Arabidopsis thaliana: one gene and its partners. The protein of the gene in region 1 interacts with the protein of each later gene in a pairwise test. Each region holds a gene or a part of one and is shown in the gene's direction. Other genes may lie near its edges.

Region 1 (9,495 bases):
CCTCTCCCAAATATAAGAAAACGGAACCAAGATTAGAGCAGAAATAGCCATTCTATAAGCACCAAAGATCATATGGTTAACACCAACATCAAGTGCTTTCTTAACGAGAGCGTTCACTGATCCCATTGCAACACTTGATATTAACATTACTATCACTGGTGCCCATTGTTCTTCCTTCATCATCCCTCTCTCTCTCTCTCGCCCTCCTGAATATATTATTTTATTAATTAAGATTTTCTTATAGTTTTTTCTTTTCTGTAATGTCGAATGTTTTTCTTTGTGTTTGGCAACCACACGCCTTGCCATCTACTTATATTTATAATAAAGTTTGTAGGTGGTTGCCACATAGGATATCTTTCTTTTTTTTAACCTAAGTATAATATCAACATATGTAGTAAATTTTTATCACTAGTGTTAAAATTATGTCGAATATATTTTAATTTACTGGTGGTAGATCATTTTCAAAGGAATCTTTAAATCCGGATTTAAATTTAGTAGTTTAAATAAGAAACTAAAAAGGTGAGTAAGTTATACTTTCCATCAGAAAAAAAAAGATAAATTTGAATAAAAGTTGGTTTATCAAAGTTTTTCTGTATATATATATATATAGATATAGATATATATATAAAATAACATTTTAAAGCGAAAATTGAACCAAATGCCATTATGAAAAAAATGAACCTTGTAAAAAAGAGAAACTTATATAAAAACTTAATACAATATATAGTGTCTCTTAATTATTTGTGAAACTAAACCATAATTTCATATGCCTTAATTTATGAAACTAAACCATAATTTAACAGACAAATTCTGTTATATATCATTATAATATATATGTCCCATTCACGAGTTATTTTATTACATAAGAATTTACTCTCTCTTTTTTTAGAACACCAAATAATTTACTCTAAAATATGTTAATTTTTTTTTTTTTTGTAAACCATCTTAAAATACCATGTTATATATTGCTTGTCAAGCTTCATTTTTTCTTTGTTTGGTTTAAGTCGAACTTTTATTTTACATGGAAAGAGATATTAAAAATGTGATCAAAAGATATCTATAAAGGTTGAAAATTCTACTACGACAAGTTTATATTTTTTTTTCTTTTTCATATTCATATGTTGTTTTAATGAGTTAATTGATACCGACGTGTCTACAACTAGACCAAACTATACAAAAGTTACACAAATATAATACGTATGAATCTGTTGGAAAAAAAAGTATAAATGATGAATGTCCAATTTATTTGTCATGTATTGACAAGGACATGCATATATATACAACGCACAACAACTCATACATTGATTTTAGCGAAACAAAAAAGGGCAAAAAATAACAACTCTACAAAGATCTATTAGCTAATATGCTCGCGACGATATTGAAGTTTTACAAGTGACATTCTACTAGATATAAGAGACAAATTTTGTCCTGAACAGGATAGTCAAATTTTAGTTTGCAACACGCAAACGTGAAGATCCAACTAACCTGTTAGAAAAAGTGAAAAAAAAACGGAACTAGGAATCGCAAAAATGCTATATTTTAAATTCTGCGTCTGTTAGAAGTTGTTTGATATGCTTAATTACTTTTTACTCTAAATCGGTTTCATTTCTTATGAGAAAAAATATTTCTATGAACACTACACTAAAATTAACAATACCTGAATTTGGAGAAATCGGTGAAAGTAAAAAATGCTTTCATACACCATATCTAGTTTTAACCCTAGTAATTTTCTTAGTAGGGTTTTGCCCAAAGATCAAAGAGAAGTGTGTCATTACTGTGACTAATACAAAATAGTCTAATGACTCAGTGACCAACAAAATAAAAGTAATACTAAAGAAAAACAAATAATTTAATTAGAAGACTAGCTAGTGGATCGTTGACATGGACGTATGTACGTAGCTCAAGCACAATGGCTGCACTATATCTAAATCATTACGAATCTAAACTGTCGGCCATGCCTCGGAATCTAAAGCCGGTCGTAATCTATAACCCATTACATTAAAATCTCTGAGATAAGCCTAAGTCCAACGATTCTTAATTGTTTTACTGCTATGGGATTTGAGAAGATTGGGGCCTGGTAAGGGAGATCAAAGATACCGCAGCCTTCTGGGCAGATCCTAAAGGTACTACTGTATTTGTTGAAAGATTAAGAACATAGAAGAATCAGAAGCATTGAAGTAGAAGAATCTCACGAGAAGAGGAAGAAGCAAAACCAACGTGGTATTGGTCCAGTAGTAAATCTTTGAGATAGAGCTGATGGGTTCGACGCCTGTTGGAAGGGATTTTTTCTCTAAATGACATGAATTTAACTTCATGTAGATCTCATCTCTAAAAAATATAGGACATTCGAACTTGAACTGTCAGATATTCAAAAAAAAAATAATAAAAAAAAGAGGAACAAACAAAATTAACGACAAATGGTGATGTCATGACTTTGGTCCTGTTTGTTTACATGTCGATAGCGACATAAATCAGCGACCGTGACCAAAAGTTGTTCGTTTACTTGTCGCTAGATTCAAGTGTATGTGATCACTTTTCTGCAAATCAAGGTTAAGCTTTTATGACTAAATCACACCTTCAAGTGATGAAAATGCGAAGGTATCGACTTATACCAAAGACCATATAAGTTTACATATTAATGCGAAGGTATCGACTTATACCAAAGACCATATAAGTTTACATATTAACCCAACAAATAAAGTTGTGGGCCTTGTCCAGCTTTTTTGTTCAATAACATGTATACACGGTGCAAGTACAAAAATTAGAATGACTAGACGAATAAACACATTTTCGCTTAATCCCTAACACAAACATTTCCCTAAGTATCTTGAATTCAATTTTAGTTACTTTTCATGTAGCTTTTCTTTGTGGTATATGTATGTGATTAATGCTTTCGAGAATAAAAGAAAATATGAATACAAAACATTTAACAAGGTCTGCAAGGGAAACTTGTTAAAAATAAAGGCAAGAAACGTTAATCAATCAAGATCCTGAATGCACAGTCGTGATAATTGGCATGCTCACATCGTTAGTTGGTGATTTGATGTGTTCTTCCTAAAAAAGTTCCTTAAGAATTTCACTTTTAAAACAGAATTCAGATTTTGCATTCTCGCTACAAAATACTTGTAGACTGAGATACAATCTGAATTATCATATAACATTTGTTTGCTATCGTAACGTTTTTTTTTTGTAAAAGAATATAATACCAGTAATCAACTTTTTTTGGTTCTGGTTCTATATGATTGGTCAATAACTGAAATAATTTTAGGATATCATAGAGTTAACGAGATCGATTGAAAAGAAAGTAAATATTTATTGTTATATCTTTGTATATAAATTTATTGGGTTAGTCAATAACATTGAGAGATACTATTATACTACTAAAGTTTCATCCATTTTTATAAAACAATAGAGCTCTCAAAATGGACGGGCGGCCCGTGGGCGTGTTTCATCCATTACAACTGTAGCTTCAGAGTCTTCATTCAGCATAGGAAGTCGGGTTTTAAACAAGTATCGGAGTTGTCTTCTTCCTTCTACAGTTCAAGCTTTGATATGTGCGAGGAATTGGCTATGCAACTTTGAAGAGATTGGTAAGCTTTTGACTTCTTTTCTTTTGTCATATTTCAATCAATTTGAATCTTAATGCATATTGAGTTCTTCTTTTCTGTAGTACTTAGGTGATAATATTGAGTTCCTTAATAAAGACAAAGATGGCGAGAGAGAAGAAGAAGAAGTTTAAATTTGCTTTTAATTTGTTTTTGGATTTGATACTTTGTTAAATACTTGAATTGTGTTTAAATTTGCTTTTGGATTTAATACTTAAATTATTTAATACTTTGTTGTTTAAATTTGCTTTTGGATTTGATAATTTGGTTGAAATATGAAGCAAATACTATTGTGTTAAAATTTGGTTATGTTATGCTCATTGGACAGCCCAGTTGGACATGAGCTTTAATGAGCATGAACGTTAATGGACATGGACCTTAGTGGACATAGACACTATTTGTCCAATATCGAAATGGATATTATTGGACTGAGCTAATGGACATGGACATCCCGCTTTGAGTATCAAGTAACAAGAAAAAAATTTGAATCAACAAGAAAATATAAACCATAGAAAAAGAATATGTTTAAAGAACTCAGGAAAGAAAATGAAGTTTCATAGAAAAAGAACTAGTATCAAATTCCGATATAAATTATACCATTTGTCTCCAGCTTCCTAAGCCGGCAATGTACAAACCCTTCCACTTTCGAATTTGTTCGGTTAGAAATAGATTTATATTCCACAATTTCTTGCACCTACGTTGATGCCTATATATATAGACACACTTAAATGTATGTGGAATTTGAAATATATATTGATATAGTAAAATGGGATGTGTTTGCAGCAAGCAATTAGAAGGAAGAAGGCAAGAAGACATTTCGCTTCTTGCTTCTCAAACCTTTTGTAAGTTACGTCTACTTCAATCATCCACCACTTCCTCCTCCTATATATTATATTGCATGGAGAAAGAATATTATTACACGAGCTTGTAGATCAGATAACATCTAAATTGTTTTGGGTTTGCAGTTAGCGAGGCTGAGGTTGAAGTTTTGCATGGATTGTTCATCAAACTCACTTCTTGTCTTAGCAACGACAATCTTTTGACCAAAGTTAGAGTCCAAACTAATTTTTCTTCCACAATGTGAATAATTTTTTTTTGGTCAACAAAATGTGAATAATATAACATCTAAATTTTATACTAGCTAGTTATAGAAAAGTTGTGCTTTTGTCATGTCAAATTTGGTTGGCTTTTCCAGGAAAAATTTCAATTTATCTTGATCAAGAATACCAAAAAGCGCAGTCTTTCTGCAGAACGGGTAATTGAATTTGTTATATTAAGCGAAATAAATAAATAAACTTCGATTGATGTTGTTTCTCTGAAATATGCAGATTTTTGGATTATTCGATATGAGAAACGATGGGGCTATAGATTTTGGAGAGTTTGTACACACACTCAACATTTTTCACCCAAACTCATCACCAAGAGATAAGGCCATATGTATGCTTCATCACTTCTAATGTGTTTATTCATTTATTCCATGTTATTATTATTTTCTATATAGCTAGAGATCAATGTTATTAACTATAACCACAAATACATCTGATCACTTGTTTAAAATTAAACAGTTGCATTTAGATTATACGATACTCGTGAGACTGGATTCATTGAACCGGAGGAGGTACGTATGTAAACTTTGTCTCAAAAAAAAGAAAAAGTCATGATTAATTATATTTGACGGTTTTCCTCGACTTGGAGAAATCTATAGGTGAAAGAGATGATAATAGACGTTCTAGAGGAATCAGAACTTATGCTATCCGAGAGTATCATTGATTCTATCGTGTCTAAGGTGTGTATAACGCTTAAGTTTATGAGCTTGATTTAACATTATAGTGATTTTACTTACTATTTTTGTTTACTTATATTTGGCAAAGACATTTGAAGAGGCCGATTGGAAAAAAGATGGGATAATAGATTTGGAAGAATGGGAGAATTTTGTTGCCACCTATCCTTTGACACTAAAGAACATGACTATCCCTTTCTTGAAGTAATTCGTTTGTTTGTTTTTCCTAACCATTTTCTTAATATTCGCTGATAAATTGCATGTTTTAGATACATCTTTCGTTTTACAAAAAAAGTAATATATATACATCTTTCAAAAACAGCTTTTATATATGTGTGTTTATGCATATATTACTATTATCTTCTTTTATTTTATTTTTCTTGTTTTATAAATCGAGATAATTATTCTAAAATTAACTTTTATTGTACAGGGACATTCCGAGGATTTTCCCAACCTTTCTCCGGTAAAATCAGATGAGGTGTTTGCTAGAGGTTTTTGTTTAAAAATATTTTTATCCGAAAATCACATAGGTAATTTGTTATAAGAAATATAGAAGGTTAATTATTATATAAACATATTAACTATCGAAAGAAATCTTTAATATTTAACGAGGATAGAAAGTAATTGTTTTTAACCACAAAGCTAAAGCTGTGATATGAAAACTTAAAAGCAAAGATCGGTTCGTGAAGACAAAATGGGGTTTTGGAAAAGGAAAAGAGGAAAAAGAAAAAGAACAAACGTGTGAAAATTCGAGAAAAATGGTAACACAAAAAGAAATTGGACATGATATAAGTTGCCAAAACCAAAGAGAAAAAATTGACATGATATACCAATCAAATTTTTGAATCAGGTCAACTAATCAAATTCACAACAATCATCCACAATATTATTTAGATTTGACGCTTTCACTGTTTCACATGAAAATTTTACATTTGACGCGATGACTTGTGGAGTCACGATCATTTTAGTCACTCGTTTTAAACGGATGCTTCATTCAAAAAATGTAACTTATATTCAGAAGACTCCTAACGTCCGATTCAGATTTACAAAAAAACAATATCATTGAATCGGAAAACAGAAAAGCATAGTAATATTCTAAGTATTTAATTATAATCGTGAGGAAATAGTTCCGTAATAATGGGGGAAAAATATATATATGATAAAACCAAAATGAGATTTGCCTGAAGATGCCATATGTCTGATCAAACACTCTGAGCTGTTGTGTCGATGAACTCACCATATGCCAAGATACGCTATTAGCGACAACACATTTGTATTGTCAAATGTCATTAATTAACATCCACAGGTCCAACAACAGAGAAACAAAATAATTATCACAAGTAAAATATAAAATTAGTAATATACTTGTACTTATAATTTTTGGCTTATGCCTTTTAATTTATTTTAACACTAGACTCGACGAAACTCATCACTAACATGACCACAAAAAAAAAAGATTACAATTCTAAAACACAAAGATTAAAAAAGAAAACATAACGAAGTAAAATTAAGACTAGACATCAACTTTACAAGTTGAAGGAGCGAGAAGAGGAACTTGTCCGTTAGAAGATGGATTAAATCTCAACCACACATCACATCTGGCGTAAAATCCATACCGTCCAGTCTTAATCGCACCAGCTTTCCAACGTAGCCTCCCAAAAATCACCACTCTCATCAAAACGACGCCGTAAGCTTCATCATTTTTTAAACCATTAGCTACTTCCGGCGAGACTGGTATACCGTTGCCTCCCATCACCGGAGCTATCACAACCGTAGATTTATGTCCTAAACGAAGCGGTGGTAGTGGAAGCGGCGGTGTTATGATCTGATCTTTGTACGTTACGTACATAGAGAGCTTGTCGTAGTGAATGGAGACTCTCCGGTTAGGGTTTCTTGCTAAAACGCTGAACTGAACGGAGGTTGAGATTAACGGCGGCGCTGTGAAATTCAGGTCGTAGATGGCGGCTCCGACGACGGTGAGACGTGGTTTATGTGGACGGTAGACGAGCCAAAGGATTAAGGCTATGATACCTAGTATGACAAGGATGGTGAAGATCGCGCCGCAGATTGCGCGGCGAGCATCTCCACCGCCTCCTCCGCCTTCTTTAGAGTAAGATTCTGGCGTTGAAGAAGCGGAGGGAGCGTTCTTGTGATCTGCTTTGGCTGCGTGCTCTGCTTTTGCTTCTCCTTCTCCCATGGCTATACTCTACAGATATAAGTGTTAAAGTGTGTATGTATAGGTATGTGTGTGTCTATACGAGAATCAGAGGGTTCGGTGAAGAGTGAAGACTCTAAAGAAGGAGGAGGAGAAGAAAGAAGATAAGTAGATGCAAGGTTTTGTCTCTTTTCTAGTTAATAAGAGTAAACAGTCTTCTAGAGTACAGTTTTATTAATTGTTTATTAACTTAGAAAGCTTGTAGTTGTAATTATGTGTTAAAGCTAATCTTTTTATAAAGTAGCCGTAAATTACTACTGTTTTTACATTGTGATTTTATTTTGTTATAATACTTAATGTAATAATATAAGATAGAGAAGTACTTTCGAAAGACTCCAAATCTCGGTGCAACCGTTCACGTGACGGATCTGATGAGTGATGAATTTTTTAAAAATGAAAAATCCAATGTAACGTGTATACATATGGCTATACATAATCAAATACTTTGTTGTCAATGATTGACTTATTTGGTGACAACTATGGTTTCGTGCAACGTGATAACTATCACTTTTTGGCCGTGTTAATTTTTAAAAAAATTAGAATGAAATTTATCAGGTTACGGCCTGTCAAAGTTAGCAATAACCTAATATCTGTTTGCATGCCAGAATACGGTTATGTAGAAAGAAAATTAAATTATCATATTTCACAATTCTTTATCAACTGTATAAAGCAATTAATAATAAATTAATTAGATACCACATGTGTCATATTTGTTCTAATGTTTAGAAAATAAAAGTACAAGTCTTTTATGTCCACATCTCCAACAATACTTCTGACCAAATTCCATATATTATTAGTAAGCTTCCAAAATAAATAATAATCACATTTAAGAAGAATCTGTTATTTAATCACACTAACTGAGATACCGCACCACCGACACTGTAGTCACCGACAATGCTGTGGATGCTACCTGGGCCTCAATTATAAGCCCATTATAAAATTGGGCCTACACTAAAACTATTGTGTACAGAGAGATATTTGATAATTTGCTGACTGATACAAGTCTCACTTCCAACGGCCGATTTATTAAAAAAAAACTCCGACAAATGATTCGCCGGCCGATCTACGACTTCGCCGCCGTTTTTCGCCACTTAACTTCTCCGTTATCGACATCCTCGCGTTTTCTGTTCTATTCTTCATCTGAACATGAAGCTCGAAAACCGATTGTCTCGAACCCTAAATCCCCAATCGGGTCTCCGACTCGGGTTCAAAAGCTCATAGCTTCGCAATCGGATCCTCTCCTCGCCAAGGAGATTTTCGATTATGCTTCTCAACAGCCCAATTTCCGCCATTCTCGATCTTCTCATCTAATCCTCATTCTCAAACTCGGCCGTGGTAGATATTTCAATCTTATCGACGACGTTCTCGCCAAACACAGATCAAGTGGTTATCCATTAACCGGAGAAATTTTCACTTATCTGATCAAAGTCTACGCAGAAGCAAAGTTACCGGAGAAAGTCTTAAGTACGTTTTACAAAATGCTGGAGTTCAATTTCACGCCGCAGCCAAAACATCTGAATCGGATTCTAGATGTTCTCGTAAGCCATAGAGGTTATCTCCAGAAAGCTTTTGAGCTTTTCAAGAGTTCACGGCTTCATGGAGTAATGCCTAACACGAGAAGTTACAATTTATTGATGCAAGCTTTTTGTTTGAATGATGATTTGAGTATTGCATACCAACTGTTTGGTAAAATGCTTGAGAGAGATGTTGTCCCTGATGTGGATTCTTATAAGATTCTGATACAAGGGTTTTGTAGGAAAGGTCAAGTGAATGGTGCTATGGAATTACTTGATGATATGTTGAATAAAGGATTCGTGCCTGATAGGTTAAGTTACACGACATTGTTGAACAGTTTGTGTAGGAAGACACAGCTTAGAGAGGCTTATAAGCTTCTA
Region 2 (11,404 bases), on another chromosome or scaffold:
GGAAGACATCAAGCCAAGAGAAAGTACAAAACAACAACATCAAGCAAGCATCTAACTTCAATGTCCATTCTTGAAAACCGGATTCAAAGTTTCCTGACCCACCAAGCATCTACTAATTTCCTAGTCCTAGAAACTGTCTCTTCTCATCATCACCAACAACAGACTCTCAAGTGTTGTGGAATTAACGAGAAAGATTCAAATGAAAACCCTAATTGCCACCAATTACAGTCAAAAGAGTATTACTTGCACTCAGAAGCCAATGATTTTGTCAGTACAAAAAAGCTCTAAGAGCCTCCTAAGTAGTGTTGAACAAATTAAGAGAGAGGGAGAGATATAGGGTGAGAAAGAAGGAACCTTTTGGATCTGTTCGGTAGTGATGTTGTTAGCAGGGGGAATCGACGGAACCATCGGAAACATTTGCGGAGACTGCTGCTGCTGCATCTTCTTCTTCTTTACTACTTACTTTGCCCCAACTAAACCCTAATTTCGTCTTCCCCAAAAAACCCTCGACAAAACCCAGACCGATCCAAACGCAGGAAATGATTGCAAGCTATATCTATATATATTATAGAGAGAGAATCCTGCAATTTATTACTTGGATTCACCTGGATGTCGAACCACCTCTGTGTGGATTTTATGACCAAAAATGCCTCTGTCTCTCTCTCTCTCTCTCTAATTTGTCTTTACAAAACTCTAAACGAAAACATAAAACATTAATTAATACAGCAACGAGCAACCTCTAACCAAATTAGAAAGTTTTGGATATATTTGGGCCAATGGGAAAAAAGGACATATTTGGGCCTAAGACGGTTCTAAGGCCCATGGACCATCGAGAAAGTTACATTGCAAAGTACTACATTGAGTCAGTTTCTTCCTTCTTCGCCTAAATTCGAAATTTCGAAACCTCAGACACACTTACAGAGAGACCAAACGGTAACATACAGTAGCTTCTTTTTCTTATTCGTTAAGAAATCTCACGTAAACCCTTCGAATTTCTCAAATCTTCACTCGGAATCTGAAAAAAAATGGTGAGTGATCTCCCGCTTGATGAAGATGATATCGCTCTCCTCAAGAGTCCTTATGTAAGCACCCCTTTTAGAAGAAACCTTTAATTTATTTTTTCTCGAATTTTAGTCTTTACTCGGATGTCGCTTGTGATACGTTAGAGAACAATTTGATATTTTTTACTGTGTAATTAGAACAAATTATGTCTTAATTGGTCTTAGATAACCTTAAATTGGTCGATTTAGTTCAATTTTGTGTAAACACTCTTACTTGGATTTATCTTCTTCTCTATCTTAGATAGGTGAAATTGTTGAAGAAATTGGCTTTGTGAGAGAAAAGCGCATTGCTCATTGTATTGTTCAGTGTGATGATGGTGGTGATGAGGACGTCAACTCTGCTCCAAACATTTTCACTTATGATAATGTGCCTCTTAAGAAGCGCCACTACCTTGGGACAAGTGACACTTTCAGAAGCTTTGAGCCGTTGAACGAACACGCATGTATTGTATGCGATATTGCAGACGATGGTGTAGTACCTTGTTCTGGGAATGAATGCCCTCTCGCTGTTCACAGGAAGTGTGTTGAGCTTGATTGTGAAGATCCTGCAACCTTTTACTGTCCCTATTGTTGGTTTAAGGAGCAAGCTACTAGATCCACGGCTTTGAGAACAAGGGGTGTTGCAGCTGCGAAGACCCTTGTTCAATATGGATGTAGTGAGCTGAGGAGTGGAGATATAGTCATGACGAGAGAAAACAGTCAACTAGAGAATGGTTCTGATAATTCACTACCAATGCAACTACATGAGAACCTTCATCAATTACAAGAACTGGTCAAGCACCTTAAGGCTCGAAATTCCCAGTTAGACGAGTCAACAGATCAATTCATTGATATGGAGAAATCTTGCGGAGAAGCTTATGCTGTTGTTAATGATCAGCCAAAAAGGGTACTATGGACAGTCAACGAAGAGAAGATGTTGAGGGTAAAACCACCACACTTTTTTCTTGAAATACACTTTTAGCTTAAACTTATAGTATATGTTTATTTTGGATAGGAGGGAGTGGAGAAATTTTCTGATACAATCAACAAAAACATGCCTTGGAAGAAGATTTTGGAGATGGGAAAAGGTATATTCCACACAACTCGTAATTCCTCCGATCTTAAGGACAAATGGAGAAATATGGTGCGTATGTGATTCCTTTCACCATAAAATCCTTAGAAGTATTAAATGACGCATTTGATATCAAAAACATTAAGACAAATCCTAGTGACCTTTTGAATTGGCAGTATAGTAGTGTGACGACTTTGATGTTAGTCCTTCCTTGTAATCGCAGTTTCGGATTCCTCCGTGTAGATCTTTTGGTAACAGTAGTCCTTATAGATGATGTTCGCTTTGTATCCCTTATGTTGATATTAAGAGAAGATAACGTGTCTTTTGTAGTAGCCGTCCCACTCTGTTAGTCTTTTGTTTTGTACCCTTCTTTAAACAAAACAGAGGATTGAGAAAAAGAGAATCATATGGGAATTATGGATATAATTTTGAAGAACTTAAAAATAGGTTAATCTTTTAAGACTATGGGGAGATAACTTGTCGCACAAGTACCAAATGTTTCGGAAACAAAGGTGAAAAAATCTACAAACTTAACAATAAAACCACAAGTCTTCCATTTGTACGGAGGTTAATAATAATTAATACCAAATAAACGACAACACTTGAAGTAGTCAAAACTTTTATAGAATTATCTTGATTTGGTTGAGGTCGAGATTGACATCATCATCGTCGTCGCAGAGATCGGAGATCAAAATGGAGAGGGAAAGAAACGCAGGAGTGATGAAGAAGATGAGTCCAACAGGAACCATCCAAAGATTAGAATTTGTGGGATGGTATTTGTAAAGCCAATAACTTAGAAACAATCCTCCACATATATTCACAATCATCGAATACAAGAACACCATTGACGACGTACTCTTCTTCTCCTTCCTTGTCCTCTTCTTCATATTCGTGTTCATGCTGCTTTCGTGGTTCATTTGCAAGAGGATCTAAACAAGTTATGATTCGCCTTTTTATTAATTAATTTACTGGGAGTTAGGTGAAGTGAAAGAAAAGATGGATGACAATAATAGATTCTATATTGTTAGAGTGTATGAGTAAGTAAGTATATATGCAGTCGGGTTCCGGTTCGTGTAGGTCGGTTTAGAAAGTATATTTCAATTAAACTCGGTTTTTAGTCGTTTTTCTAACGAAATGTGTTTGGTTTTTAGAGATTATTTATGAGCAAAACTGAGTTTGTGTTTGGGTTTTAGATAGGGTACCTAAAACTCGATTAAACATTTAGACCAGTTTCCAGCTGGTCCGACTCCGATTTAGGTTGGTCAATGTATGAAAGGCAAATCTAAACATAAGACACATTTTATGTTATGTATTACTAAATTACTACAAAAAAAACTCCTACAACTCCAAAATACACAATGGTTTAGATTTAGATATACATGTTTTTAGAACTAAAATTATTGAGGTATTTTATAATAGTACTCCAAGTTATAATTTCTGTTACGAGGCGAGAATAAACGTGGGAGAGGAAGGAAAAAAAGGTGCCGTGCGGTGCAACTAGATTTTACATATTTGTACACATATTTCACGATTGAATCTTTCAAGACATTATATGCTTTATCAAATTTTATATATATAACAATTAGATAAGAAACACAATCTGACCCGACTCTACTATTTATAATTATACGTATGAATCTCTAACTTCGTTACTAAAACGGCAAATACTAAACCCTGAAAGGAAACTGTGTGAGAAACAGTTAGGCCCCTTGACCATCTTTGTTCAACGTTGTCAACGAAAAAAAAATGGAACCATAAAGGATAATTAATTGTATCACAAAAAGACAAACACAAATTATTGAATATACCATCACTTATCAGTATATAATTTTATACAAATGCTTTAAATAACAAATATTATGTAGAAAAAGAGAAAAGAAACTTAACTTGGTCAATTTGATCATTTGTGTAAACGATGATGCGGAACATATGCGATAATAATGTTATTGGATGGCAAAAAAAAAAAAAAGTATTTTAGTTGGGCCCTAATGTTAATTCACAATCAAGCCTAAATTTGGTTAATGGGCCAATCTTTCTTATATATGTAGGACTCGGATGTTCGGTCTACTCGAACTATCTACAAACCAAGCTAAACCGAAAGTAAATACAAAATCAAACCAAATAATAGTTTGGTTTATATAGGTTTTAAATTTTAATCCATATAATCCAATAAGTTCCAACTCATAACCAGGAAAATAAAAAAAATGTGGAATGAAGAAGTTCAAATTGATAACCAAATGAATTGCTTTCATATGATGGTGACGTGATGTTTTTGTACCGGACTCAATTATTGGAACGAGTGGTTCATTGTGCATTATTTGCATTTTCTTTTGTTCGTAATATACTAACATATCTAAAAAATTATTGTATCATTATTACTAGTCATGCAATAAATCATCAACTCACACTGTCTGCCACACTTTTTTAATTTTTCTGCGTATTTTGGCATTATCATATGAAAGAAAATAAGAGAAACAAATAAAGGAAAGAAGAAAAATAAAAACATTATCACATTCTGTGAAATCTCTGAGTTTATCAGGAAGGATATGTGGGGTTCATATTCATACCGTTCCCTTTACTCACATCGTCACATGGAAAGATCAACTATTTCAATTATCTATTTATTTATTATCATATACTTTAAATAATCAAATTTAGAACCGTTACAAACAAAAATAAACAGCTACATCAAATTTAAACAAAAGTAAGTATATGCGAATATTATCATAGATTTAAACAAAATTTGACCAAGATATAACAATCATCATTTAACTACCAACATTTGATATATGTATTTATTGTTCTTAGGTAGTTTCCAACTTCTAACTAAAGACAAAAAAAAAAGTTATATTTAGAGAATATTTCTACATGAAAAGAATACAACTATATCAAATAATATGATAACAGTCAACTTTGAACATCAGTAGAATGGAATGAATCACTGAAAGATATACTCATATACACATAAAGATTAAGGACATCAAATCACATCCCTTACAAATAAAACCATATCCACATAAATTTAAAACCCCAAAATTTTCATAAAATCCATATACTTAAACAGGAGTTTCTGTATATAGTTACCACACAAGAACAAAATTATGGAATTTTTTTATATGAATGAAGAATGAACGTTACGAACGTACACAAGTACAAATAACACGGGACTGACGCGGAACAGAGCAAAATAATGATTTTTGACATTACGTGGCATACGGGACCCACAATACGCGCGTGACTCCCAGTCGCGCCTATTAAATCTCTCGCTCGTCCACTTTCTCTCGTCAGCCTTAAAACCAGGCAGCCACTAGAAGAAGGAGAGATATTGAGGGAGAAGAATCACATTGATAGATTCGCCGCCGATCTAGAGCCGTTGATTTTCTTAATCGGAAAAAGAAAATGAGTGGAAGCAGAAGGAAGGCGACGCCGGCGAGTAGGACGCGAGTAGGGAATTACGAGATGGGACGAACTCTCGGAGAAGGAAGCTTCGCTAAGGTGAAATACGCCAAGAACACCGTCACCGGAGATCAAGCCGCTATCAAAATCCTCGACCGAGAAAAGGTCTTCCGTCACAAAATGGTCGAACAGGTTCGTTAATTGTGTTTGGTTTGATCACGTAAAATGATTATGGATTTGTTTGTTTTTAAGTACTATAAAGAACAGTTTAATTTCGTGATTAGGGACCCACATGTCCTCCTAGGTTGGTGTTCGGTTATTAAGGTTAATGTTTGATTAAAGTGTTAACAATAATATTTTAAAATATCGAATTTTGTATGAATGTTTTTGTTTCTGTATATATCTACACGATGCTGATCTTAGTACGCATTGATCAAGATAACTATTAACTATGATATGGATATGGTTTTGAAGTTCGAGTAGCTTTGTTTTTGATTTGGTTCGATTTGAATCTGTTGAAGATTTAGTTTTGTATGCTATATATGTATGATTGGAAGTTATGAGCAAGATCTCGAAGATATAATGATCATAAAGTTTTATTTTTTTGTTGTTGTGCAGCTTAAAAGAGAAATATCTACAATGAAACTGATTAAACATCCAAATGTGGTTGAAATCATTGAGGTACGAAACTAATTAGTTATCATTCCTTAGATATTTTTTAAATTAAGTTTTGAATCTTAGCGTGTAAAACATCTCTCTGTGGTAGGTTATGGCGAGCAAAACGAAGATCTATATCGTTCTTGAGCTTGTCAATGGAGGTGAACTCTTTGATAAAATCGTAAGTAACCTAACTTAGAGAATCTTCCTCTCTTTTCTCTTCACAAATATTGACATATGTTCTCTGTCTTTCTCTCTTCTTACTCTTATGTTAATTCTTGGATTTAAATCATATACATAGGCGCAACAAGGGAGGCTTAAGGAGGATGAAGCTCGGAGATATTTTCAGCAGCTCATCAATGCTGTGGATTACTGCCACAGTCGAGGTGTCTACCACAGAGATCTCAAGGTCTTTCTTTTGTTTTTGTGCACTCTTCTTGTTTCCTGTGATTACGATATTCATTCTTCTTAGTTCTTATTCAAGTTTCTTTTGTTATCATCTGTTCCTTGTTGCAGCCTGAAAATCTGATCCTTGACGCAAATGGGGTTTTGAAAGTCTCTGATTTTGGGTTAAGCGCCTTCTCACGACAAGTTCGGGTAATGCCATTATATTTTTCACTTGGCAATTAATTTCTGATATATATAACCAAGATATCAATTTGAATGAAGTGTTCTAAGCATTGTTCTTTTGAATGCAGGAAGATGGTTTGCTTCATACAGCTTGTGGAACGCCAAACTACGTTGCCCCTGAGGTATTATGTACTAACTTTCAGCACTTAAAAAGGCAAAGAATATGAAATGTTCTGTAGATCCTCTTTGGAAAATAAGATTTTAAGGAATTCAAGAACTGCTAATACGTTTTTAAAAAGGAAGGAAATCTAACAAATGCTATACGTATATATAGACTTCATTTGCAGAATCTTCTTTATTTATGATGTATATAAGAGATATGCCTTTAATGTTGTCTACTGCATTGTGTTGGATTTGCTGGCAGGTTTTGTCGGACAAAGGCTATGACGGTGCAGCAGCAGATGTCTGGTCTTGTGGTGTCATTCTCTTTGTGCTTATGGCTGGTTACTTGCCTTTTGATGAGCCGAATCTCATGACATTATACAAACGTGTACGTGTAAATTATCTCTCCCTCTGCTTCTTGATCTTCTGCAGTACTTTTCTAGTCTCATCTTTGGTGTTTAATATATACTTTAGATATGCAAGGCTGAGTTTAGCTGCCCACCATGGTTCTCGCAAGGTGCCAAGAGAGTCATCAAGCGTATTCTCGAACCCAACCCTATTACCGTAAGTGCCTCTTACATGAAGTAATAGTTGTGAAAATGTGAACATGACATGCTGCCAACCATAGATTGTGCAAGAGCTTAAGTATGTACTTATTTCTGAAATGCAGAGAATAAGTATTGCAGAGTTGCTCGAAGATGAATGGTTCAAGAAAGGGTACAAGCCGCCATCATTTGACCAAGATGACGAGGACATAACCATAGATGATGTTGATGCTGCTTTTAGTAACTCCAAGGTAAACACCGCCATTTCCAAATTCTCCATCTGGTTGTGTATATCATAGTTCGGTTTAAGTAAACCAATGTATTGTTACCAACTAATATCACTCTTTTTGTGCTGCTACTCTAGGAATGTCTTGTAACTGAGAAGAAGGAGAAACCTGTATCCATGAACGCTTTCGAACTTATCTCTAGCTCAAGCGAGTTCAGTCTTGAAAACTTGTTCGAGAAGCAAGCGGTAAGAACTTTTTTCTACTTACAGTTTGTCTTGATTTTCTAAAATCATGCATAGGTTTTATCTAACTAAATCTGATTTGTTGTTGTTTGCAGCAACTTGTGAAGAAAGAAACGCGGTTTACTTCTCAACGATCTGCGAGTGAAATAATGTCGAAAATGGAAGAAACCGCAAAGCCATTAGGCTTTAATGTCCGTAAAGACAACTACAAGGTCTGTTCTTCTTCTTCTTCTTCTTCTTGATTTTGTTTGTGTCAACTAATGTCTTTGTAGCTTCGTTAAACATTGTTTAAGTAAACTTCGCAGATAAAAATGAAAGGAGACAAAAGTGGTCGTAAAGGTCAGCTCTCCGTAGCTACAGAGGTAAGAAAGAAAAAAATACTCCGGTTCAGTTCGGTTTTTGGATTTTGATGAATATCGTTATCTAATTGTTATGGTTTGGTAATCGGTTTAATAGGTGTTTGAAGTGGCGCCATCATTGCATGTGGTAGAGCTTAGGAAAACCGGTGGTGATACCCTCGAGTTTCACAAGGTATGTGATTCGGTTTGATCTTCATCAAAAACCGGTTCGGTTTTGATCCGGTTAACATCTCTAGTTTAGTGTTTAAATTGGTTTTATGTTTGAATCTCTTTTGCAGTTCTACAAAAACTTCTCATCTGGATTAAAGGATGTAGTCTGGAATACTGATGCAGCCGCTGAAGAACAAAAGCAATAAGAAATAACAAGTTGTTCAATTCAAAGTTTTTAATCAATGTTGAACATGTATAATGAATAGTAAACATTCTGGAGTTGGCAATATACAAGTATTGCTGACAAAAGAGCCAAACTAGAACTAGAAGTGGTCTATAGAGGTAGATCACCATAGGTTAGTCAATAGCCACATATGTGATCATCCTCAAACTCGGTTTGAAACCTATAAATCAAAGTTCAAACAATTCAATTAGGCAAAAAATACTCTGCAAGCTGGCTATTTGAGTATAGTTGAAAGTTGCAACGATGTTGTCGCTTTATGGCAACGCGTTACAATGACACAACATATATAACAATTTGGAAAACACAATGATAGAATTATTAAAGAGAGGTTATCTTAGCTACATAGATCTACGTTTGCAACCAAAAAAAAAAAGTTTTATTTTGATGTACAGTCACACATTGATGACGGAGTGGTTTCTAGTGAGGAGTTGGTGTTGAGCAGACCAACGTTAATTGCCCAATAAGTTGTGTGAGTTGTCTAATCTTTCAAATCAAACAGCCCGTAAAGCCCATAAAGTCGCAAATTTCGCATTCCAAAGTTTTTAAGAATGGAGAAACGTTCAGATTCAGAGAGTGTAGAGATTTTGGGTGATTGGGATTCACCTCCTCCGGAAGAAAGAATCGTAATGGTTTCTGTTCCCACTTCACCAGAATCTGATTACGCGAGATCGAATCAACCGAAAGAGATCGAATCTAGGGTTTCAGACAAGGAAACAGCGTCGGCATCCGGAGAAGTGGCTGCGAGGAGGGTGTTGCCGCCGTGGATGGATCCGTCGTATGAATGGGGTGGTGGCAAATGGAAAGTAGACGGAAGAAAGAACAAGAACAAGAAAGAGAAAGAGAAAGAGAAAGAAGAGATTATTCCTTTTAAAGAAATAATTGAAGCTCTCCTTGGAAACTCCGGTGACAAGGTTCAACAAGACAACAAGGTTAATCAAAGTCAGAGCTCTGTTGAGATGTTGAAATCAATGGGCTTTAAGTTTCCTTAATTTGTGGTAATCTTTTGGGGCTTTTCTTGGTTTTAGTTTTTTTGTTTTGTTGTTGCAGAAAGTAGTAGACTAGTAGTAGGTATGCTTTTTCCTCATTATTGAAATTCTGTTTTAATCTGATAATGAAACTAAGAAATCCAAGATTTGCAAGATAAACTTTTGAACGTGAATATATGTCACTAGTGTTTTGGCCAACTCACGGCTTAAATCTCTGAGTAAGATTCTTCGGAGAGAAAAAAAAAAAAAGAATTTTGTAGGTTTAGTGTGAGATATTGTTGGATACAGTAAAAGCTATTGACGTTAGTTTTCGTTTAAGCTGTTTTTTTTTTGTTATGACTTATGATACAACTACAAATTTGAGTCCATACTAGTGTTATATGATAGCGTGTTTTGTTAATATCCTCGATAAAAATGTTATCTGAAAATACAATGTGAGAACGGAACCATTCTTCTTAGAATTATTTCTAAATTTAAGCAAAATAAAGTAATACAGTATTTCTGAAATGCAGAGTATAAGTATTGCAGAGTTACTAGAAGATGAATGGCTTCAATATCAGTAAACACATGTTGTGTTTCTACACTTTCTCTCTATCTCTGTCTTTGTTTCACTCTGTTTTGTTTTTGTTTAGAGACAAACACAAGAACTCGTTTTTACTCTTTAATAAAAGACTACATTCATGATATTGATGATTTCTTACAACACAACACATACATGTACTACTTCTCCTAGTTCTAGGCACTCTTACACAACCCTCCTACTTGTATTGGAACTCTAACAACAACTACTCTAACCTAGACTTGACTTACTTAAACAACACTTTACTTATATGGGACTAACATAGCAATTAGCCCAATTACTTATTACAAGACAACAAGCCCAATATCTTCTTTGACTTGCTCTTCTCATCTTTGCTATGATCTTCTTCTCACTGAAACTTTTCTTCTTATAGAAATTTAATCAAGGATTCATGATTTCAACAAGACAACTACAAGGTTTGTTCTTCTTCTTCTTCTTCTTCTTCTTGATTTCTCTGTGTCAATTAATGTTGTTGTGTCTTTGTTAAACATTGTTTAAGTAAATTTCGCAGACAAAAGTGGTCGTAACTCGTAAAGGTCAGCACTCTGTAGCTACAGAGTTATGAACAAAAACAGATAGGAATGATAACATTCCGGTTTAGTACGGTTTTAGATTTTCATGAATACGGCCGGTACCTGATTATTTTGGTTTGGTTATCGGTTATAATAGGTGTTTGAAGTGGCACCATCGTTGCACGTGGTAGAGCTTAGGAAAACCGGCGATGATACCCTCGAGTTTCACAAGGTATATTTTCGGTTTAATCTTTACCAACCGGTTCAGTTACCTCTAATTTTATTTGTTGTAATTCGGTTTTCTATGCTTAAAAGTTAAATCTCTTTTGCAGTTCTACAAAAACATCTGGATTGGAGGATGTAGTCTGGAATACTGATGCAGCCGTTGAAGAACAAAAGCAAAAAAAAAAAAAAATAGCAAGTTGTTCAATTCAAAGTTTTTAACTAAAGTTGAATGTATAATGAATAGCAAAAAATGCTGGAGTTGGCAAAATAGAACTATTCTTTACAAAAAGCCAAACCTAGAAGTTGCTACAGATTTAGATCCATATGTTAGCCAATAGCCATATGCGATCATCCTCAAAACTCGGGTTGGCTTACTTTGAGTTAGTCAGACCTATGAGTCAAAGTTCAAACAATTCAATTAGTCAAAAATACTCGGG
Region 3 (10,631 bases), on another chromosome or scaffold:
CTACCAATATACATGTTGTTTTCCAAAGCCATAATATCCCATGTTACCACTATGGGCTCAAGTCACTCTAAATTATCAAACACAGAAAAAAAGTCACTCAATCCTAAAAAAGTGGACCTCACTTCATTGAAATTGAAAAGAAAAAATAATTAACAAACTCGATCGATCAACTAACAGAATTAAAACAAACACTCCAGCAAAAGTTAATAATCAAACAAAAGTGGACCTCGATTAATCTCAAACAAAAACCCTTCACGTAAATTAAATACTATATATATATATATATATATATATATATATATATATATATATGCGTGGTTCAACTTTTCAACAATCCACGTGAGATAATTTTATCTTTTTTGTTTGTTCTTATACATTTGATTGAAGTAATTGGGAGAGAGCTAGAATGCAAATTGTAAGTGATAGACAACTCCACCTAGTAATAGTTCGTTTGTTAACCTCTCACCATCAGTTTTTTTTTTTTTTCCTTTCATGTTAAAAGAAATCTACTTTTATTTCCCCAACCTTTGAAAATTCAACTTTTTACTTTTTGCAAGACAAACGCACTGTTTTTCCTCTGTGACTTAATAAAAAATTCGAGGTGTTTATCTTGAATTTGAGTTGTAGGACGTAGATAATTGATTTTGTCACGAGTATATATGATCAACGATGATATTATTCGTTTTTAGTGGCCTAGTTTCTCATCTGATAAACTTTTCAAACAACATGTCATATAGTTGTTGCGCCATAATCAGTAATTCTTTCTCTATCGGTGGGTGTGGGAACCACAAACGGATCAAACTTATAAGTTATATTAATTAGAGTCTGAACGAAAAAAATCGCGTAGGTTATATATTATTTCCATTCTCTAACGGTTAATTTAGTGGCGGCCGGTGTTAGACATGTTTTTGTTTTCTAGGGTTGGCAAGTACAATAACAATACATGTTCTGGAGTGAAGTGAAGTAGTTGTCAAATAGAATTTTAGTTTTGAACAAATTAATCCTTGATACTTTTTTATGTAACTATTAATTATATGATATAAATAATGAAAGGTGATCAAGGGCTGGGAATGTCGTGGTTGCATGCATGGAACTTGGAAGGTCAGCTGCTTCTGCCAAACTTATTCCCCGCTCCCCCAGTGATATGACCTATCTGCCCTCACATTCTTTCAATCAGATCCTCTATGTCCACAATTATTGTATCAAACAAAACTGTTGCCAGATGGAAAACCGAGATTGATCGAGCAGAATCACTAACCGAGATATATCAATCAACGTTGTAGAAAGTCCTAGCAGACATTGTAGATGTAGGTAGTTTTGAATATATTGGTTATATTTCTAGCTAATGAATGCATTTTGTAACTTCATATTTACAAGAGTTCAATACAATTATTCCACAAGTCCTTTCGTATTCTTAGTCTCATCAACTTATCAATATATCATATCCTTAACACATGCTCATGATGAATTTGGTTTTACCCAAAAACCGGTCTAGTTAATCTGATCCGAAATTAATTTGATCCATCCATCACCTTAAGAGAACACATATTAGAAATCCTACACTGAAAACAGAATGAGACCAAGGTAATTTATCAATGGATATGGATCAAACCCACTTACCAGCAATAGGTTTTGATAGGAAACCCTTCAAATTTAGCATGTAAAACTTTAGATCGAACCACTTTGGATTCAAATTAGATGGCACATATTCTACTACTTTAATATCATGTAAAGATTCATTTGCTTTCAAATCAAAACCAATGTGTGGATTGATTAGTTATTTTATTATCACAACTTTGAATTATAATTACTGTCATCTATCTATAACATAAACTAAAATAATAATGTACATTACTATATATGTTTATTATATAGTATATCGCAAATCTTGATATGGTTATGGATATATCAAGTTTAATAATGTATGCTCACCTTAAAACGTATATACTCCCGACGAATAATGAACATTAGAGTTTTAATTTGTATAATAAGATATGCTTGGTAGAAAACAAAAAAGGGAAATGTGCTGAAAAAAGGGAAATGTAAACATGCATGAATATGGTAAAGGTGGCGTAATTAAGGAGTAAGGACCCAGTAATATAGTGGATATTCGAGAAAAACTTTTCTACGTGAACAAAAATAACCTACGTGTAAGTTATCCTCTCTATAAAGCCCTCATCAAGTCTCTGAGTCCTTCAACGACTCATAACTCATAGCTATATCTTGTCTTAAAAAGAAGAAGCAAAGAGAATTAGTGGAGTACGATAAGCAGAGAAGTATGTTAAAGGTGGTGTTGTTGATGATGATAATGATGTTGGCGTCACAGTCCGAGGCTCAGCTGAACCGTGACTTTTACAAGGAAAGCTGTCCATCATTGTTCCTTGTCGTGAGACGAGTCGTGAAACGGGCCGTGGCCAGAGAGCCTCGCATGGGTGCTTCTCTCCTTCGTTTGTTCTTCCATGATTGTTTTGTCAATGTAAGGCACTTTTTTTCAATGCAAAAACGAAGCATGCTTTGTATGTTCCCATGAATTACTCCTAAAACTTAGTAAATGCTAAGCATATGATTTGATAGGGGTGTGACGGATCCTTACTGTTGGATGACACACCGTCTTTTTTGGGAGAGAAAACCTCAGGACCCAGCAATAACTCTGTGAGGGGGTTCGAAGTGATCGACAAAATCAAGTTTAAGGTTGAGAAAATGTGCCCGGGCATCGTCTCATGCGCAGACATTCTAGCCATCACTGCTCGGGACTCCGTTCTCCTCGTTAGCACCTCTACCCTTTTACTCTTTGTCATGTCTTACATAGATGCATGTAATAATTGTTGAATGGTTAAGTGGCTTAGTGATTCGGATTCATTTATTTTACCTAGCTAGAACCAGAGTTCGAATCTTCTAGTAATTAATCAATTGTCCCTTTTCAAAACTTAAAAAGAAGGGTAAAATTGTAGTGCAACTTGCATCTTTTTCCTTCTGATTTTCTTGTAAATCATTGATTTTCTAAATCATTCTCACATACATCTAGCCAAAATAGCATAAATCTACCATTACTTTACGAATTCCTAACAAGATACTTTTACATTTTGGTCGATTTTACAGCATATGAACACGGACCAATTTTTGTTTTTTGTTTTTCCCTTTGTTACAAACCCTTCAGCCGACCAACATTTATCTAAATGTTTAACACTTCTTAATATGACTAAACAGCTAGGTGGACCGGGGTGGAGCGTGAAACTTGGAAGAAGAGACTCTACGACGGCGAACTTCGCGGCCGCGAACTCCGGAGTCATCCCTCCTCCGATCACTACCCTTAGCAACCTCATAAACCGTTTCAAAGCACAAGGTTTGTCCACACGTGACATGGTCGCCCTCTCTGGTGCTCACACCATTGGACGAGCCCAATGTGTTACATTCAGAAACCGAATCTACAACGCAAGCAATATCGACACCTCTTTCGCCATCTCTAAACGGAGGAACTGTCCTGCCACCAGTGGCTCCGGAGACAACAAGAAAGCCAATCTTGACGTCCGCTCTCCCGATAGGTTCGACCACGGCTTCTACAAGCAACTTCTGAGCAAAAAAGGTTTGCTTACGTCAGACCAAGTCCTCTTTAATAATGGTCCTACCGACTCGCTCGTCATAGCTTACAGCCACAATCTCAATGCCTTCTACCGCGACTTTGCAAGGGCAATGATTAAGATGGGAGACATCAGCCCCCTCACCGGATCCAATGGTCAGATCCGCCAAAACTGTCGGAGGCCCAACTGAATGATTCTCTTTTATATTATCCCAAGCCCATTGAGCTCAATAATCACCTCTTCGTCAACTGTTTTTTCATGTGCATTCCCCTTCTTCGTCAACTGTTAAAATACATCTTCATTATATAAAAAACAATAAACACGTAAAAGTTTGTGACTATGCAGTTTTCCATTATAAATTACTGTCTATATTCTCTTCTTATTTTTTTTTTTTTTTTTTTCTCTTCTTACTTTGGCTGATTGAAAGAAATAAAACTTTTAAATTTAGTTGAGTAGATGATTTGTTATAAACTCTATGCTACGATTTTTCAAATATTAGTAGATAAAATATCATTAAAAAAAAAAATGGTGAGCAAACTATCATAAAAATATATGATGGCAAAATGTGAGCCGTCGGATGAAAAGTGAATAGGCGAATGAGAGGACAAGTGTAAAAAGTCATAAGGTAGACAAGGACACAGAGGAACAAGTGGCCTCTGCTCTTCTGCCTCAATTAAAAAATTATTTTTATTTTTGATGTGCGTGGACCGCCAATGACGTTTAACTTCGTTTTCATCTCTTCTTCTTCTTCTTCTTCCGTCTTCTCCTCCATTTTTGTTGGTAAACCCAGAAAGAAATAAGGAAGAGAAGGGGCCTTTAGGGGCGGATAGAGAGATCTACACGTCTTTCTACTAGATCTCGGATTCATTCCCAGAATCCTCTTTCCTCACCGGTGATTGTCTTGATCATATATGTTTTGTTTTCTCCTTGCGAATTGTTGATTACATGTTGAAATTTAGGGTTCTCTGATTGCCGATCTATGCTTTTTCTCTTTAATATAGAGGTAATGCGGTAATGGGGGAGAATTATATAACCTGAATGATCGGTTCTGGTTTAGGGCTTTAGTGGTTTGAGAATTTGTGTGTGTGTTTTGATTGATGATTGCGTTTTGACTCGTGATCGATACATATAATTGAGTTTAGATTTGATCGATACACTGATTGTTGTTGGAAGTAGATCTCATTGCTTTGTTTTTTTTTTTACTTGACAGGCTCAATTCTACCAAGTTTCTAAGAGGTTTATTCATATTCGGCATAGAAACTCAGAAATGGTGGAGGATGTGTCCTCCTATCACTAGGGGATTAGCTGCACGAGCTCATGAGGTTATGACTCATGAGCTACCTCCAACTCTGAGCTATCTCTGGATCAAGTAGTTTTTTTTTTTTTGGAGCCTGTTATAAGTTTGTAGATTAGATGGAAAATAAGCCAAGTGTTTTGACTGATAAATATGATGTTGGGAGGTTATTGGGTCAAGGTACTTTTGCCAAGGTGTATTATGGAAGGAGTATTCTTACTAACCAGAGTGTTGCTATCAAGATGATCGATAAGGAAAAGGTTATGAAAGTTGGGCTTATCGAACAGATCAAGAGAGAGATCTCTGTTATGAGGATTGCTAGACACCCTAACGTTGTGGAGCTATATGAGGTCATGGCAACAAAAACGAGGATCTACTTTGTTATGGAGTATTGTAAAGGTGGAGAGCTTTTCAACAAGGTTGCCAAAGGGAAATTGAGAGATGATGTTGCTTGGAAATACTTTTATCAGCTTATCAACGCAGTTGATTTTTGCCACAGCCGAGAGGTGTATCATCGTGACATAAAGCCGGAGAACCTATTGCTAGATGATAATGAGAATCTCAAGGTATCTGATTTCGGGTTAAGCGCCCTTGCTGACTGCAAGAGACAAGATGGCCTCCTCCACACTACTTGTGGTACACCTGCATATGTTGCTCCAGAAGTGATCAATCGAAAAGGCTATGATGGCACAAAAGCAGATATTTGGTCTTGTGGTGTGGTTTTGTTTGTCCTATTGGCAGGCTATCTACCTTTCCATGACTCCAATCTGATGGAGATGTACAGGAAGATAGGAAAAGCAGATTTTAAGGCACCAAGCTGGTTTGCTCCAGAAGTACGGAGGCTGTTGTGTAAGATGCTAGACCCTAACCCTGAAACTAGAATCACCATCGCAAGAATCAGGGAGAGTTCTTGGTTCAGAAAAGGTTTACATATGAAACAGAAAAAGATGGAGAAACGAGTCAAAGAGATAAACTCTGTGGAAGCTGGTACTGCAGGTACAAATGAGAACGGAGCAGGTCCAAGTGAGAATGGAGCAGGTCCAAGTGAAAACGGAGACAGGGTCACGGAGGAAAACCATACAGACGAACCTACAAATTTGAACGCTTTTGATTTAATTGCCTTGTCTGCTGGGTTTGATCTGGCAGGACTGTTTGGAGATGATAACAAGAGAGAATCTAGATTCACATCACAGAAACCTGCTTCAGTGATCATATCTAAGCTGGAGGAAGTAGCACAGCGATTGAAACTGAGCATAAGAAAGCGAGAAGCAGGTTTGTTCAAATTGGAACGATTAAAAGAAGGAAGAAAAGGGATTCTGTCGATGGATGCAGAAATATTTCAAGTGACGCCAAACTTTCATTTAGTGGAAGTGAAGAAATCAAATGGAGATACTCTCGAGTATCAGAAATTAGTAGCAGAGGATCTTAGACCTGCTCTGTCAGATATTGTATGGGTTTGGCAGGGTGAGAAAGATGAGCTTACTTCACAGCAAGAGACAGAATACCAACAACAACAACAACAAGAACAACAAGAACAGGAAGAACCATTGAAGTTTTGAAATTTGTTCTTGTCAAGTTTTTGGAATTTTGCTTAACACTGAATCACTGATGTTAATCGTATATGAGTTTCTTACATTTTTAATTTGTGGAAAAAAGGAATCCATCATAATATAAAGAAGTCGTTTAAAGAAATTCTCAATGGCAAGACTTTTGAATTGAGAACTTCAATTGCTTACTCTACAGCATTACAGGAAGAACAAGAATCTAAGCCATATCCTCCACTCTCTTTGAAACTGGGATAAAGGCTTCGACTTTATTGAGATTTAGTAGTGAAGACAAGATCTATAGTATATAGTACAGAGACAATATGTAAATTTGGTGCCGTCGATTGCAGTTCAATTAAACAGTTACAGACAATAGAGAGACAGATAGAGAGTAACAAAACTCAAGAAGAGCGTTTGGCATTTGAACAGAGATTGTTCCAGAGATAGCGACCACTTGCCATGTCAACGCATGTCCAAAATCCAGACTTCATTGCCATTCCCACCTGAGCCCATAAAATCAGAAAAACCCATTAATCCCCAAATTACAGAGAGAGAATGAAGATCGGAGGAAAAAGAAGAAACCTTGGAGAATCCAGAGACTGAATCGTCGTCGGCGTGTTCAGCGTCGGTGAAGGAATCATCGAGAGGATCGTCAGAGGTAGAGTTGAGCTTCTGGAGGACGAAGAAGCCAGCGAGAGTCGCTGAAAGGAATATGAGGATAAGCCTTAACGGACACATCTGCTTCTTCTTCTCTTTTCTTGATTTGCTTTTTCCAGTTTTTGATGAAGACAATCAGGAAAGAGAGAGATAGAGGAGCTGATGAAGAAGAAGAGAGAGAGATGAGGAGGGAAAAAAAAGGGTAAATAACAAAAAAAAAAAAAAAAAAAAAAAGGTAAAGAAGAGAAAAATTCAAAGGGTGGAGTTGTTGAAGAAGTGTCAAATTAGGTAGGCCATTCCCTAAAGTCACCTCGAATTTTCAATTTCATATACCTAATAACCTTATATGTCCTATTTTATATTTGAAGTTCACTTTTTTTTTTCTTTCTTTCTGGTTAACAAATTATATTCTGACAGAATAATTTGGCCTACTATAATTTTTTGTTGACTAAAATAAAAAATAAAAAAGTTAGTGGTTTGGGCAAACCTAATCTGTCAGAACGTGAGAAAAACATTTTATGCTCATTTGCTCAAGTGATGGCTTTGACAAATAAAAAGATAATAAACAAACAAAAACATAAGTGATTGTTGACAGTTTTCACTAACTTAGTCGGATCATCATCGTCACACCATTCTTCTTTATCTCAACATTTTGACTTCTTCCTTATCCTTTATTTTGCCATAAAGAAAAGACGAGCCAAATAATTCTTTATAAGAATCTGAATCTTGATTGATCATTATTACATACTATGGAAAGGGGTAAGAGACAATCCTGACCTTGGTTTTGAGGATTGCTTTGAGAACCTAAAACTTTGCAAACCTAGCAATTTTAGCAAGGGCAGTTCTTAAACTTCCTATACCTGCTCCTGATCTTGAGCTCACCATCATCTGCAATCATTTAACGTTAACCACTTGCTTCTTAGGTTTCATCTTTTACTGCAGCCACAGAGGGAAGTAAACAACAAACTAGGTGAATCATATTCATACATACCAGAGGCTGGACAATTGATCTGTTTGCCTTCAACTTCTGCATTTTTTAAAGAAAAATAATTGTTGACATTAGTAAGAACATGACCAACATATTATTTTTATACATTGCCTTCACTATATTCATTTAGAGTATAATGAGTAAGACCTCTTCGATTTGCATTGCTCGACGTGCCACATCAATTGGGAAAACCACATCCGTCTTGGTTAAGACTATCTGATACTTTGTATTCGATCTGCAATTCAGTTTACGGCTTTAAGGAAACTTCATTACATGACCTAAAAAAAAATTAAGAGCAGTATCAATTATTTTACCTCTCCATCAGATTAATCAGTTCCTGGTCTCTTGGCTTCATACCCCATTTGGTGTCAACAAGGAGGCATACCCGTTTAAGACTGGTTCTTGTCGAGACATATTCCTTTACCTGCATTGATCAAAGTTAAACAGATGGGGAACATTAACCTGTTTAGTAATACACGAAACTGGGCAAGCAATTTAGACATAATCATTCTCTAGCCAGGGGTAGATGCTCACAAGATCTTCCCATGCTTCCTTAACTTCATCTTTTGCAAAGGCAAAGCCGTAGCCTGGCAAATCAACAAGGCGAACCTTCGGACCAAGACCAAAGAAATTGATGGTCTGCACTTCATAAACCCTTTGTTATTACAAAAACATGTACGCCATACAAGCAAGTAGTTCTCAGACAGGGGAATACCTGGGTCAGTCCTGGTTTGTCAGATGTTCTTACAACACCCCACTGTCTGGTAAGAGCATTTAGCAGAGACGATTTGCCAACATTTGACCTTCCTGATCAGAGTTAAGACACCAAATATCCCAACTTTTTAATATAGTTTAGTGTTATTAAAGTAGTTTAACATGCATATTCTAAAACTCAGAAAAAGTTTTTTTTTGTTGATATTTCTATAATCCTGGTGGGAACAACATATTGAACGCAGTACCTGCAAATGCAATCTCAGGTACATCAGGAGGTGGAAATGAAGATGAAACATTTGCAGCAGCAAAGAATTCCAATTTATTCCTAAATACCTGCAAATGGGCAATTGCAACATTAGCTCAATAGTCTAGCAGAGAAGGCTTATTATCTTGAGGTATTAGAGAAAAGGAATGAAGAATAAGAACATACACTTTCTTCTATACGTTCTCTCTCTGTGCTGGTTGACTGAGGAATATTATCTAATGGAGCAGGAAGCTCTGTGTTATAGCCGGCCCTCTTTAGCTCAATTAAACGTCTACGCCCCAACAGCTGTCGTAAAATGTATGTTATCAGCCATCTAATGAAAATATCACGTAAGACACCATAAGAGAGATAGTCATATAAATTACATTTTCTTCCACATAGGAGAGGATCGAATGACTAGGCTGAATTGCACGAAACTGTGCATTTTTCGACATTTCTACACTTTTAACTGCATCTTTTATGTTCTTTACTCTAAGGCCATCTGAAAAAAGGAAAAGAAACAGCAAATTAGTAAAGCAGCAATGAGATGTAGCAAGTAAAACAGTTTCACAACACAAAGAACTAACCATCAAGAAGGACATCATCAACAATTCTTTTATTTGAGGTATCATAAGGATCAAGTCGTATCCTCTTTCTCTTCCTTGGTTTATCCTCCTGAACATCTGAACCATCTCCCACAACTCTCTTCTCTGAAAACACCTGTTTTCTAGCCTTAAAAGACGGCACATCAGAACTTTCCCTGGGACTCACATCTACATTACTATCCAATTCATCTCTCTTCCTGTAGCTCTTTCGAGTAACATCAACCCCACTCCGTGACTTTGTTTTAAACACACTAGTTGCAGCATCATTAGCGGTCTTAAAACTAGAAGTAGACCCTTGGTTTCTCTTTGAAGCAACCCACATCGTGCGAGGGATTTCATTCACATGGTTATTATGCTTAGCCTTATTGGGGTAGACCCTCTTCTTCTTCATAGACGAAACCGTAGTCTTCCGAGAGTTAGTGTCATCATCACTGCGTTGAGTAATGGATCTACTCTTTCCTTTATAAGAAGAATTGGAGCTAAACGATGAAAGCTTCAGCCTTTTCTTGAGCTTAAGACCTAAAGAAGTATCTAAAGACATTCTGTGATAATCGTGCTGAAACAGAAGAAACAACTGTAGAACTCTACCAACTTAAATCACCACACAACAGCATCGATTCCGTTTAACACGAATAAATTTGGTTGAAGCAATGGCGAAAAAGTGAAACCTTTGAGGGGAAGCTTGGATAATTGGAAGAAATGGATACCAGGGTTTAGTTGCTGACGAAAACAGTCTTAAACCCAACAAGAAGCTCACAACAACAAAAAAACGTGAAAAGAAAAAAATGAGAGGCGGCGAGAGAATTAGGGTGGATGAAGAGGAGGGCACGTTTGTCTTTTCACCTTTCATATGTATTGGATTGGCTTCAATCTTTTGTAATAGCAGACGAACCACAAACACTTATTCCGGTTTAGGAAATTTTTAGTTCAAAAAATAAAAATGAAAAGTAATTTAAATAGATCAAATTTGAAAACTAATTCAAATAGATCAAATTTCAACTCATAAA

The links.
Region 2: the proteins of CBL5 (region 1) and CIPK9 interact in a two-hybrid assay, tested with the Arabidopsis thaliana proteins (one study listed by BioGRID).
Region 3: the proteins of CBL5 (region 1) and SIP1 interact in a two-hybrid assay, tested with the Arabidopsis thaliana proteins (one study listed by BioGRID).

The regions. Positions count from the first base shown.
Region 1 is NC_003075.7:576,395-585,889, reverse strand, and holds CBL5 (calcineurin B-like protein 5), read left to right. Parts: upstream 1-4,368; 5' UTR 4,369-4,371; coding exon 4,372-4,447; intron 4,448-4,570; coding exon 4,571-4,653; intron 4,654-4,800; coding exon 4,801-4,860; intron 4,861-4,933; coding exon 4,934-5,042; intron 5,043-5,170; coding exon 5,171-5,223; intron 5,224-5,310; coding exon 5,311-5,391; intron 5,392-5,476; coding exon 5,477-5,589; coding exon of another isoform or gene 5,590-5,593; exon of another isoform or gene 5,594-5,815; coding exon 5,816-5,852; downstream 5,853-9,495. Other genes in the region: UMAMIT29 (nodulin MtN21 /EamA-like transporter family protein), read right to left, coding at 2-183; AT4G01410 (Late embryogenesis abundant (LEA) hydroxyproline-rich glycoprotein family), read right to left, coding at 6,899-7,582; AT4G01400 (oligomeric golgi complex subunit-like protein), read left to right, coding at 8,647-9,495. UniProt on the Arabidopsis thaliana protein: Acts as a calcium sensor. CBL proteins interact with CIPK serine-threonine protein kinases. Binding of a CBL protein to the regulatory NAF domain of a CIPK protein lead to the activation of the kinase in a calcium-dependent manner.
Region 2 is NC_003070.9:61,620-73,023, reverse strand, and holds CIPK9 (CBL-interacting protein kinase 9), read left to right. Parts: upstream 1-5,398; 5' UTR 5,399-5,511; coding exon 5,512-5,700; intron 5,701-6,126; coding exon 6,127-6,189; intron 6,190-6,274; coding exon 6,275-6,346; intron 6,347-6,466; coding exon 6,467-6,574; intron 6,575-6,681; coding exon 6,682-6,762; intron 6,763-6,863; coding exon 6,864-6,917; intron 6,918-7,159; coding exon 7,160-7,285; coding exon of another isoform or gene 7,286-7,291; intron 7,292-7,371; coding exon 7,372-7,461; intron 7,462-7,567; coding exon 7,568-7,693; intron 7,694-7,806; coding exon 7,807-7,914; intron 7,915-8,006; coding exon 8,007-8,123; intron 8,124-8,216; coding exon 8,217-8,273; intron 8,274-8,367; coding exon 8,368-8,454; intron 8,455-8,548; coding exon 8,549-8,626; 3' UTR 8,627-8,857; downstream 8,858-11,404. Other genes in the region: GIF2 (GRF1-interacting factor 2), read right to left, coding at 8-109, 355-441; AT1G01150 (Homeodomain-like protein with RING/FYVE/PHD-type zinc finger domain-containing protein), read left to right, coding at 1,026-1,082, 1,303-1,983, 2,056-2,184, 2,739-2,909; AT1G01130 (CBL-interacting Serine/Threonine-kinase), read left to right, coding at 9,213-9,467, 10,900-10,974, 11,075-11,119. UniProt on the Arabidopsis thaliana protein: CIPK serine-threonine protein kinases interact with CBL proteins. Binding of a CBL protein to the regulatory NAF domain of CIPK protein lead to the activation of the kinase in a calcium-dependent manner. Involved in K(+) homeostasis under low-K(+) stress.
Region 3 is NC_003076.8:23,592,892-23,603,522, reverse strand, and holds SIP1 (SOS3-interacting protein 1), read left to right. Parts: upstream 1-4,169; 5' UTR 4,170-4,470; intron 4,471-4,788; 5' UTR 4,789-4,991; coding exon 4,992-6,431; 3' UTR 6,432-6,561; downstream 6,562-10,631. Other genes in the region: AT5G58390 (Peroxidase superfamily protein), read left to right, coding at 2,279-2,476, 2,575-2,766, 3,208-3,768; AT5G58375 (Methyltransferase-related protein), read right to left, coding at 6,818-6,919, 6,999-7,154; AT5G58370 (P-loop containing nucleoside triphosphate hydrolases superfamily protein), read right to left, coding at 7,878-7,961, 8,065-8,100, 8,209-8,296, 8,376-8,485, 8,596-8,700, 8,777-8,868, 9,021-9,108, 9,206-9,325 and 2 more. UniProt on the Arabidopsis thaliana protein: CIPK serine-threonine protein kinases interact with CBL proteins. Binding of a CBL protein to the regulatory NAF domain of CIPK protein lead to the activation of the kinase in a calcium-dependent manner.